Linked DNA regions of Danio rerio. The protein of the gene in region 1 binds, or shares a complex with, the protein of each later gene. Links are inferred from orthologs where the notes say so. Each region holds a gene or a part of one and is shown on either strand. Other genes may lie near its edges.

The links.
Region 2: the proteins of slc3a1 (region 1) and slc7a9 are in contact, whole or in part, in a cryo-EM structure (PDB 6LID), measured with the Homo sapiens proteins. The link is inferred for Danio rerio from reciprocal best matches to the Homo sapiens genes SLC3A1 and SLC7A9. Residues at the interface, in NP_000332.2 of Homo sapiens: Pro64, Tyr65, Ala66, Gly67, Met68, Pro69, Lys70, Leu73, Phe74, Phe76, Ser77, Tyr82, Pro85, Arg86, Phe90, Thr93, Val97, Leu100, Ile101, Ala103, Thr104, Ile107, Ile108, Ser111, Cys114, His201, Asp202, Thr373, Glu374, Pro375; in NP_001119807.1 of Homo sapiens: Cys137, Phe140, Tyr141, Val142, Gly143, Cys144, Pro147, Ile149, Val150, Cys153, Leu154, Ala156, Ala157, Leu160, Phe161, Thr164, Leu168, Thr279, Thr281, Asp295, Arg296, Tyr299, Tyr343, Val346, Arg347, Lys467, Thr470, Met471, His472, Gln474.

What each region holds. Positions count from the first base shown.
Region 1 is NC_133188.1:11,097,549-11,101,374, reverse strand, and holds part of slc3a1 (amino acid transporter heavy chain SLC3A1), read left to right. Parts: intron 1-600; coding exon 601-780; intron 781-3,826. UniProt on the Homo sapiens protein: Acts as a chaperone that facilitates biogenesis and trafficking of functional transporter heteromers to the plasma membrane.
Region 2 is NC_133182.1:38,717,960-38,722,273, forward strand, and holds the start of slc7a9 (B(0,+)-type amino acid transporter 1), read left to right. Parts: upstream 1-1,450; 5' UTR 1,451-2,041; intron 2,042-3,382; exon of another isoform or gene 3,383-3,422; intron 3,423-4,314. UniProt on the Homo sapiens protein: Associates with SLC3A1 to form a functional transporter complex that mediates the electrogenic exchange between cationic amino acids and neutral amino acids, with a stoichiometry of 1:1.

The DNA.
Region 1 (3,826 bases):
ATACTGTAAAATGAAGTGAATTCGTGTAATAATAATAATAATAATAATAATAATAATAATAATAATAATAATAATAATAATACTTTCTGTTGTTTTAAGATTATTTATTAGAAAATGAGCCTAAATCCAAAACAACAAGGTCTAAAGTCTTGCTTAAAAAACTGAGCTAAGTTGTAGTGATATTTCAGAAGTGAGGGTATTGATGGCTTGGACAGACAAACAAAGGCCACGTTTTCCCCTCATAATGGCTCTATGCCGCTGTATATTTATTTTCATGCAAGTGGAGGAGGTTGTTTAATTGCTCTTATATAATGGCTGAAATTGGGTCTACACATGCCATGATGAGGTTTTACTGTAGCACATTACAGGGCTGTTAGTGTTTTACTTTAAAACATGTTCATCACAAAGCAAACACTGTGGATAGGTCGAAAACACGCTTATCTTCTACATGCAGTATAATAAAATGATCACATATAGATGTCAAAAGATTGGGATGATAAAGGTTGGGTTGGTCAAGGTAATATCAGTGTGGATTGTTGAGCGTCAGATCAAAGGTGCGCAAATGTGTAGCTGATGTTTTAATAATTCGATGTTCTTCAGGAATTAAGGAGAAACTGAGTCATTTCGAGTACCTGAACATTAAGGCGATCTGGATCAGTCCTTTCTACAAGTCTCCTATGAGGGACTTTGGATACGATGTGGAGGATTTCAGAGACGTTGACCCTCTTTTTGGAACAATGGAAGACTTTGATGACCTCTTGACTAGCATGCATGATAAAGGTGAATGTGCATTAATGTAAATAATGATAAATACCTATATTTCCATCCAAAGATGTGCAAAACTGGAATATTGCATAAAGCGTTTGTGAATAAAGCACTGTTTCCATCCAATGAGTCAAAGAGAACAAAATGATAACTTCCTGATTAAGTTTCTCCAAGTATCAAAATAGTTTTAGTTTAAACTTTATTGTCCGTCCTGCTTGACAGAAAGGAAATCTGTCTTTAAAACTGGATTAAAGGCAACAATTACAAACATACAACAACCACACATTAACAACACTCATCAAGACAACAACATAAGTTAAAAGTATAAAAACCAAATTAGCCCCATACAAACTACTGCAGATCATTCTCTGCAACCACCACATTCACTTCAAACAATGATCCGATTTAAAACACTGCCATTGGGATGCCTTTTTATAAGCATGACTTTTTCTAAGCATTTCTTCGTGCTTTAGGAATTCTAAACCTGCGTCCTGAGGGTAACAATTCAAATGCTGAGTGAAGGGGATGTGTAGTATCTTTAAAAATCACAACTGCTGTTTTTTCCGTAAAGGAGTCAAACAAAATCTGCAATGAATGTTGTTTGTGACCAGTTATCTTATTTGCCTGATTGATAATTTGCAATAATTTTTTCTTCCGTTTAAGTGTTGTAAAGATAAATATTTTACATTTAGTCATTTAGCAGACGCTTTTATCTAAAGCGACTTACAAATGAGGACAAGGAAGCAATTTACACAACTATAAGAGCAACAATGAATAAGTGCTGTAGGCAAGCTTCAGGTATGTAAAGTGTAAGAAGCAAAACCATTAGTAATTTTTTTTTTGTTTTGTAGTACAGTTAGCGGTGGAGCCAGAGAGGGAATTGCAGATTAGGAAGGGAAGTAGAGACTAAATAGTTGAGTTTTTAGTCGTTTCTTGAAGACAGCAAGTGACTCTGCCATTCCGATGCAGTTAGGGAGTTCATTCCACCAACTGGGCAAATTGAATGCGAGAGTTCGGGAAAGTGATTTCTTCCCTCTTTGGGATGGAACCACGAGGCGACGTTTATTCACAGAACTAAAGTTTCTGGAGGGCACATAGATCTGCAGAAGTGAGAGCAGATAAGGAGCAAAGCCAGAAGTCGCTATGTAAGCAAACGTCAGAGCTTTGAATTTGATGCGAGCAGCAACTGGCAGCCAGTGCAAACGGATGAGTAGCGGAGTGTTTTTATTTGTGTTGTAAAAATAAAGATTTTATTTGCTGAATAGTAGGGGGTGTAACGGATTGAGTATAAGTGCACAATTAAAATATCAGGATCTCAATTCAAACACCCACGCAACATAAATTATAAATAATCTGCATATGTCTATTAGTCCTTCCATGTGCTGCGTTCAAATCTGCATTTGATCGAGAGAGATTTAATTTGTACACTTTTCAGGTAGTTACAAAGTTACAAACAATCAAATAACACAGAGGTACGGGGATAACAGTTTATTAATAAAACATAACACAGATAAAAGATTAAAATTAAAGCTAAAGATTCAAATCCCAGTTTAATGCAACTTGACGCTGTTGAAAGTTGTGGCAATTACATTGTTTATCCAATAGGTGGCGACAAACAACTATCAAAAAATTGTCACTGATTTTTTTTCCTCTGCCCATAATTATATTAGAGCTTTGTTTCTTCCGATGTCCATATTAAACCCCTTTCCACTAATCTTGGAATTGTCTTTCGAGACGCATCAACCAAATTATACATTTTAAACAGAACCGTACCAGAGTTCGCACAAACCGTACCTACCCCAGACCATCTCTTTCAGGGGGACTCCTGTACGGTTCACGGTTCATGGGTGCACACCCAAGCTCAGAAGACACGTTCACACTAGCTAAACGTACTGTATATGACGTCAAACGAACTCGGGTGCGAACAAAAAGTGCTAATGTTAATGCTAATGTTAAGTCATGTTTACCTTTTTTTATTCAGCTGGTTATTTCTTTAATTTTATTTTTAGTAAAGTGACAGATTTTAAGTTCTGTTTGTTAAAACCAAAAGTTTCTTGCATTACTGTTTTTGTAATAAATTACATCTGTCTCCTTTTTTTTTTTTTTTTTTTGCTGATCCAAAAAAGGATCCGATCCGTGACTCAAAAAACAGTGTGATCCGATCTATGAGATTTGGGATCTGTTACACCACTACTAGACAGAAGAAGCCACTGTGGGAATTTTTTTTCTATATAATCCGCTTGTTAAGTGTGACGTCACGCGAAGCGGCTTCCAGGGCTAAGCGCTCGACTAATGAAATGGTAATAGTAATGAAATGGCCAGAAAGTGACAAATTTTATTTATAAATTGTTAAATTTTTGGTATTTGTTATGCAGTAAGCCCAGAGATTGTTGTGTACATTACGATTTTATTTATTTTAAAATTAAGTTTAATGTGTATTAGGAATAAAACGTTATCATAAACGAATGATTTCTCCACTCAAATGAATGGCGGCTTGGACCCGGAAACAGATTACATACGTCACAAACACGTCACCACTTAACAAGCGGATAAACTACTTGCGGCTCAGATGAAGGCGGCGAAATCTATTGAATGCACTGAGGGTTTTGAAGTGTCGAGACTACTCTTTGGGAGAGTTCTGGGGAGTTATTATACCAAACCACTTTGACATAGTACTTTGGCTAAGGGATTTTACAATGACCAAATCAGCATTTGACCAGTCTGGTGGTTTGTCCATTATTGGCATCTTGTCCTGCCAATATTTGTTAATTCATAATCTGAAAACGAAGTCACAGGACTTCTGATGCGCATGCTGGAGTTTAATCTGTAAATGTGTTTCCATCTTAGTAGATCAGTGGTTGTACGCCTGCTTTTTTTGAGAGGGGTCTGGATGCAGACTTGATGCAAGTCAATCTGACCTGCGTCCAGTGCTTTTTAATATGCTCATCTAACCCCACCCTTCACAGTGATGTCACTAGCTCCACTGAGTGCATTATTTCGGACATTGCATCACTGAGATTTGCAGTCTCAGCTTGCATCATCAAGGTTGCATACAGATAAT
Region 2 (4,314 bases), on another chromosome or scaffold:
TACTCCAGTGTTTTTAATGGAATTTCTGCGCTAGCCTGTTGCTACTGACGGCGCTAGCAGTTACAACGCTCTTTCATCTCGTTTTATGCTTGAACAACTAAATGAATGCTTAAGTCTATTTAACTGAAAGTATTTAAATTACATTGCATCATTGATGCTGTAAAAACAACTTGTGAAATTGAAAATAGTCCGATTAAGCTTTCACCGGAAGTTTATCATTGGCTTTAAAACTCTAGCTGTGCATAGAGCCCATTTGATTTACACTTACATGCTTCCATCAGCAAAGTGGTCAAGGTTATTTACAAACCATTATGAAAGAAATAGCAGCCATTATTATTTTAATTGTGGAATATTACAGCTTTTATTGTAAATGGTTTGCCATAAACTTCATCATTTTTATGTAATTTGTGTGATCTTATAATCAACAACATTAATGCTTTGCTACAACAATCAATGATCAAATCCATTTCTGATGGACAAATTAAATTCCTGCACTACATTTTTTGCTCAAGAAGTCTGCATTTAGTTAGACATTACAAATGGGGACAAAAGGCTATTGCATCTTGTAGTTTGCACCAACTTTAATATTGAAATCTTATTCTGAATACAAAGCATGTTTTCCAACAAAGGGAAATGCACAAGGCCACTTTCTCTTTTAGAAGAGATTTTTTATTTCAGCCGCTTGTTAAGTGTGATGTCACGCGAAGCAGCTTCCGGGTCCAATGAAAACTGAAAAACGCTCTGTGAAACTGAATAAGGAGACTCAACAAATGGTAATAATAAACATTTACAAAGAGCTGTAATACTTTCAAAAATCACACACATCCATCATACATCCAAGCCTAATATGGCCAGAAAGTGATACATTTTTCATAAATTGTAAAATTATTGGTGTCTGTGATGCAGCAAGCCCAGAGACTGTTGTGTACACCATGATTTTATATAAAATTCACTTTAATAATTGATATGACTAAAAAGTGGTCATAAACAAATACTTTCTCAATTCAATTGAGTAATGGAATGGAGTCAGAAACAGTATTACATATGTCAGGACTTAATAATCGGATTAGTAGTAGTAGTATTTATTTATTTTTATTTTTATTTTTTGCACTTATTAGAATAGTAATTCTCCTGAAGAATAAGGAGAGAGAAAAATTGAAATAGGATCTAAAAAGGTTCTCAAGCCCGGACTCGAACTTGGCCCACCCGATGCTCAATGACACTATTTGTTGGCACACTGGCCACAAGGATATATCAGTGTAGACTGTTTTGTTGTTTTTAAGGTATTGGGCTGACAAATAAATAGTTTTCTGTTCTCATGTTTTCTGGAGCTTATTTGTTTTTAAGCAGCATCTTTATAAAAACTCTGATACAAGGTTCTCCTAAAGAGAGGCATTTTAATCCCATAGGTAAACAGTAATTCCCAAGCAAATCAGCTGTGGTCAGGACAAATCTACAGAGATACAGCAATTTAACAAGACTGACGCTATTGCAATACACCTAATCGATTAAAAAAAAAAAAAGCCTGTCTGACTATTGCAGCATAATTAGGACAGTCCAATAGTTCTCTCCATAATAGCACAGCACTGATTTAGAGCAAAATTATAATCCAGCAATCACTATGCACAGTGTTGTAGCAGTGCGTCTCAGAACTGCAGTCTGTGTGCATGTGTACAAGCTCACTGCAGAAATAGAGCACTGCTGGTTAGCTGTAGGGTATAGATGATAAATTTCATAGATTAGCAGTGGTGTAATATTTCAGCTGATTGTTAACCGTTTATTGATTCATTGCTGTGCTTTAGCTATGTCTTCGTTTGCTTTGTTGATTTTATTTTACTGACTGGCTGTTTTTAATGTGGTGCATGTGTGTTTGTTTTAATATACATCAGTTATGTGAATATGTTTATGTGATGTGAATGTTTACTGATAGAGTAGCCCAGTGAACTGGAGAGTTGGAAGAAACATGCAGTGCCTTTGCTTTGTTATAAATCAGGATAAAAATGTAGGACGACTGTCTGCAAAAAGATACAACTTATCACAGGTAAGAGGAAGAAGGCATTATGTGTGTGTAAGAGAGAGCGTGTGTGTGTGTTTGTATGCTTATGAAAATGTGAAGCACATCTCTGCAAGTCCAGGTCACTTGTTCTCTTTCACAGGCCCAGTGGACTGAGGTTTTGACAGCAGAGGAAAATGACAAGGACATCTTATAACGTTACTGCACCTTGAGTTCCCTCGAAGCCAATGAGCAACACACACATGTTTTTACAGCTATCTTTGGGGGACTTGTCTTTTTATTGTTTTTATTCTGGCCTAACACTATTTTCCATTTTCTAAACATATACTAGCTATGCCTTGCAGGAATATTTTTGCATTAAGTAATCAAATTATGTATTGTTTTGTGTCATAATAATATTTATTTTTTTCAAGTTTGGTGTAAGGTATTGGTTTTACTCAGGAGGGAACATTTGGTCCTGACAACAGAAGTTAATCGATAATACACTCATGTACATACACTACCTGAGAAAAGTCTTGTCGTTGATATCAATTGTAAGAGCAACAAATAATAACTTGATTTCTAGTTGATTGTTTGAAAAAGTTGCAGGTCAATTTTCAATGAATCATCTGTTGAATTGCATCCCAATCATCACAAATACTGCAGAAGACCGATTTTTAAACCCACATGGAGCCAAGATCCTCATAGAAATCAGTCATGTTTGGTGAAGGAAAAATCATGGTTTGGGGTTACATTCAGTATGGGGGCATGCGAGAGATCTTCAGAGTGATGGCAACATCAACCACCTGAGGTATCAAAACATTTGTGCCGCCCATTATATCACAAACCACAGGAGAGGGCAAATTCTTCAGCAGGATAGCACTCCTTATAATACTTCAGCCTCCATATCAGAAATCCTGAAAGTAAAAAAGGTCAAGGTGCTCCAGGATTGGCCAGCCCAGTCATCAGGAATGAACATTATTGAGCATGTCTGGAGTAAGATGAAGGTAGAGGCATTGAAGATGAATCCAAAGAATCTTGATGAACTCTGAGAGTCCTGCAGGAACGCTTTCTTTGCCATTCCAGATGACTTTATTAATAAGATATTTGAGTCATTGCAGAGATGTATGGCTGCAGTCCTCCAAGCTCATGGGAGTCATACACAATATTAAATCTTCTTCCACTGCACCATGAGTTTATACTGTACATTATTTCTGTTGAGTGACAAGACTTTTGTCAAAGCAAAGTCAGACCTTACTGTCCTAATTAAATAATTAAAGGCATAATCATATTTTAGTTAGGTAAAATAAGTGTAATCTAAAGGCCTTTGCCTTTCATATAAGCCACTCCTGATACCAAATTATCATCTAGAAGTCAAGTTATTATTTGTTTTTTTTTAAAATTAGATGGGGGACAAGACTTTTGTCAGGTAATGTATACCTCTCCAGCAGTCTTATTCTTCATTCTGTGAATTGATTCATAGTACTCTCACTCCTTCACTTAGTGCAGCAATTAGTCATCAGTTTTAAAAATAGACATGTTTAGTTGTTTTTATAAGGCCTTTATTTAATTATATAGAGTTTCTTGTTTAACTGTGCTGTCTTAAAGCAAAGTAAGGCAACAAAAGTGATGCGTATTATAAAGACAGAATTTAGCCTAGTCATTATTGACTTTGGCCTGTTCAATCAGTGGAACAAACAGAAAATGTGAAAAGTAGTGCTGCCCTCTACTGGACATTACTATTAAGTATTGGATTAAAGCATCACACTGTTTAATACATAAATGAAAAAAGGCCATAGAATTAAAAAATTGTTCTGATGAATTTGCACTCTCAGAAATACAAAATGCAGTCACTGGAAGTATTTTTTTTTTTTCACCTAAAGGGTCTATTTTAGTTTCTACTGTAAAAAATAAATAAATAAATGTACCTTTTGAAAAAGTACCACCATTGTACTAAGAGTGTGTGACAGATTTTGTGACAGGCCATCAAAATCTCAGTATGAAGTAAAAGTCACAGTGTACATTTAAACACTGCAGATTTACAGCTGCTACTTAACAGTTAAAGCCGATGATGGAGGAAAAGCTTGTTAAAGCTGTCCTCTGGGATGGTCTAGAGTTATAGTTTGCTCCTTATCTAGGTTAACATCTCAGTGTAAGGTCAGCAGAGTCATTTTCAAGTGCTCAATCACACTATTGTTGTGCTCTTGTGATTGGAGACTGCAGTGGCAGCCTTTCATTGAACAAATATAAAACAAAAAGTAGTACACTTTGAGTAGTATTAGCTAGCTGTATTATAAGTAATATGTCAGTGCAGATTCATT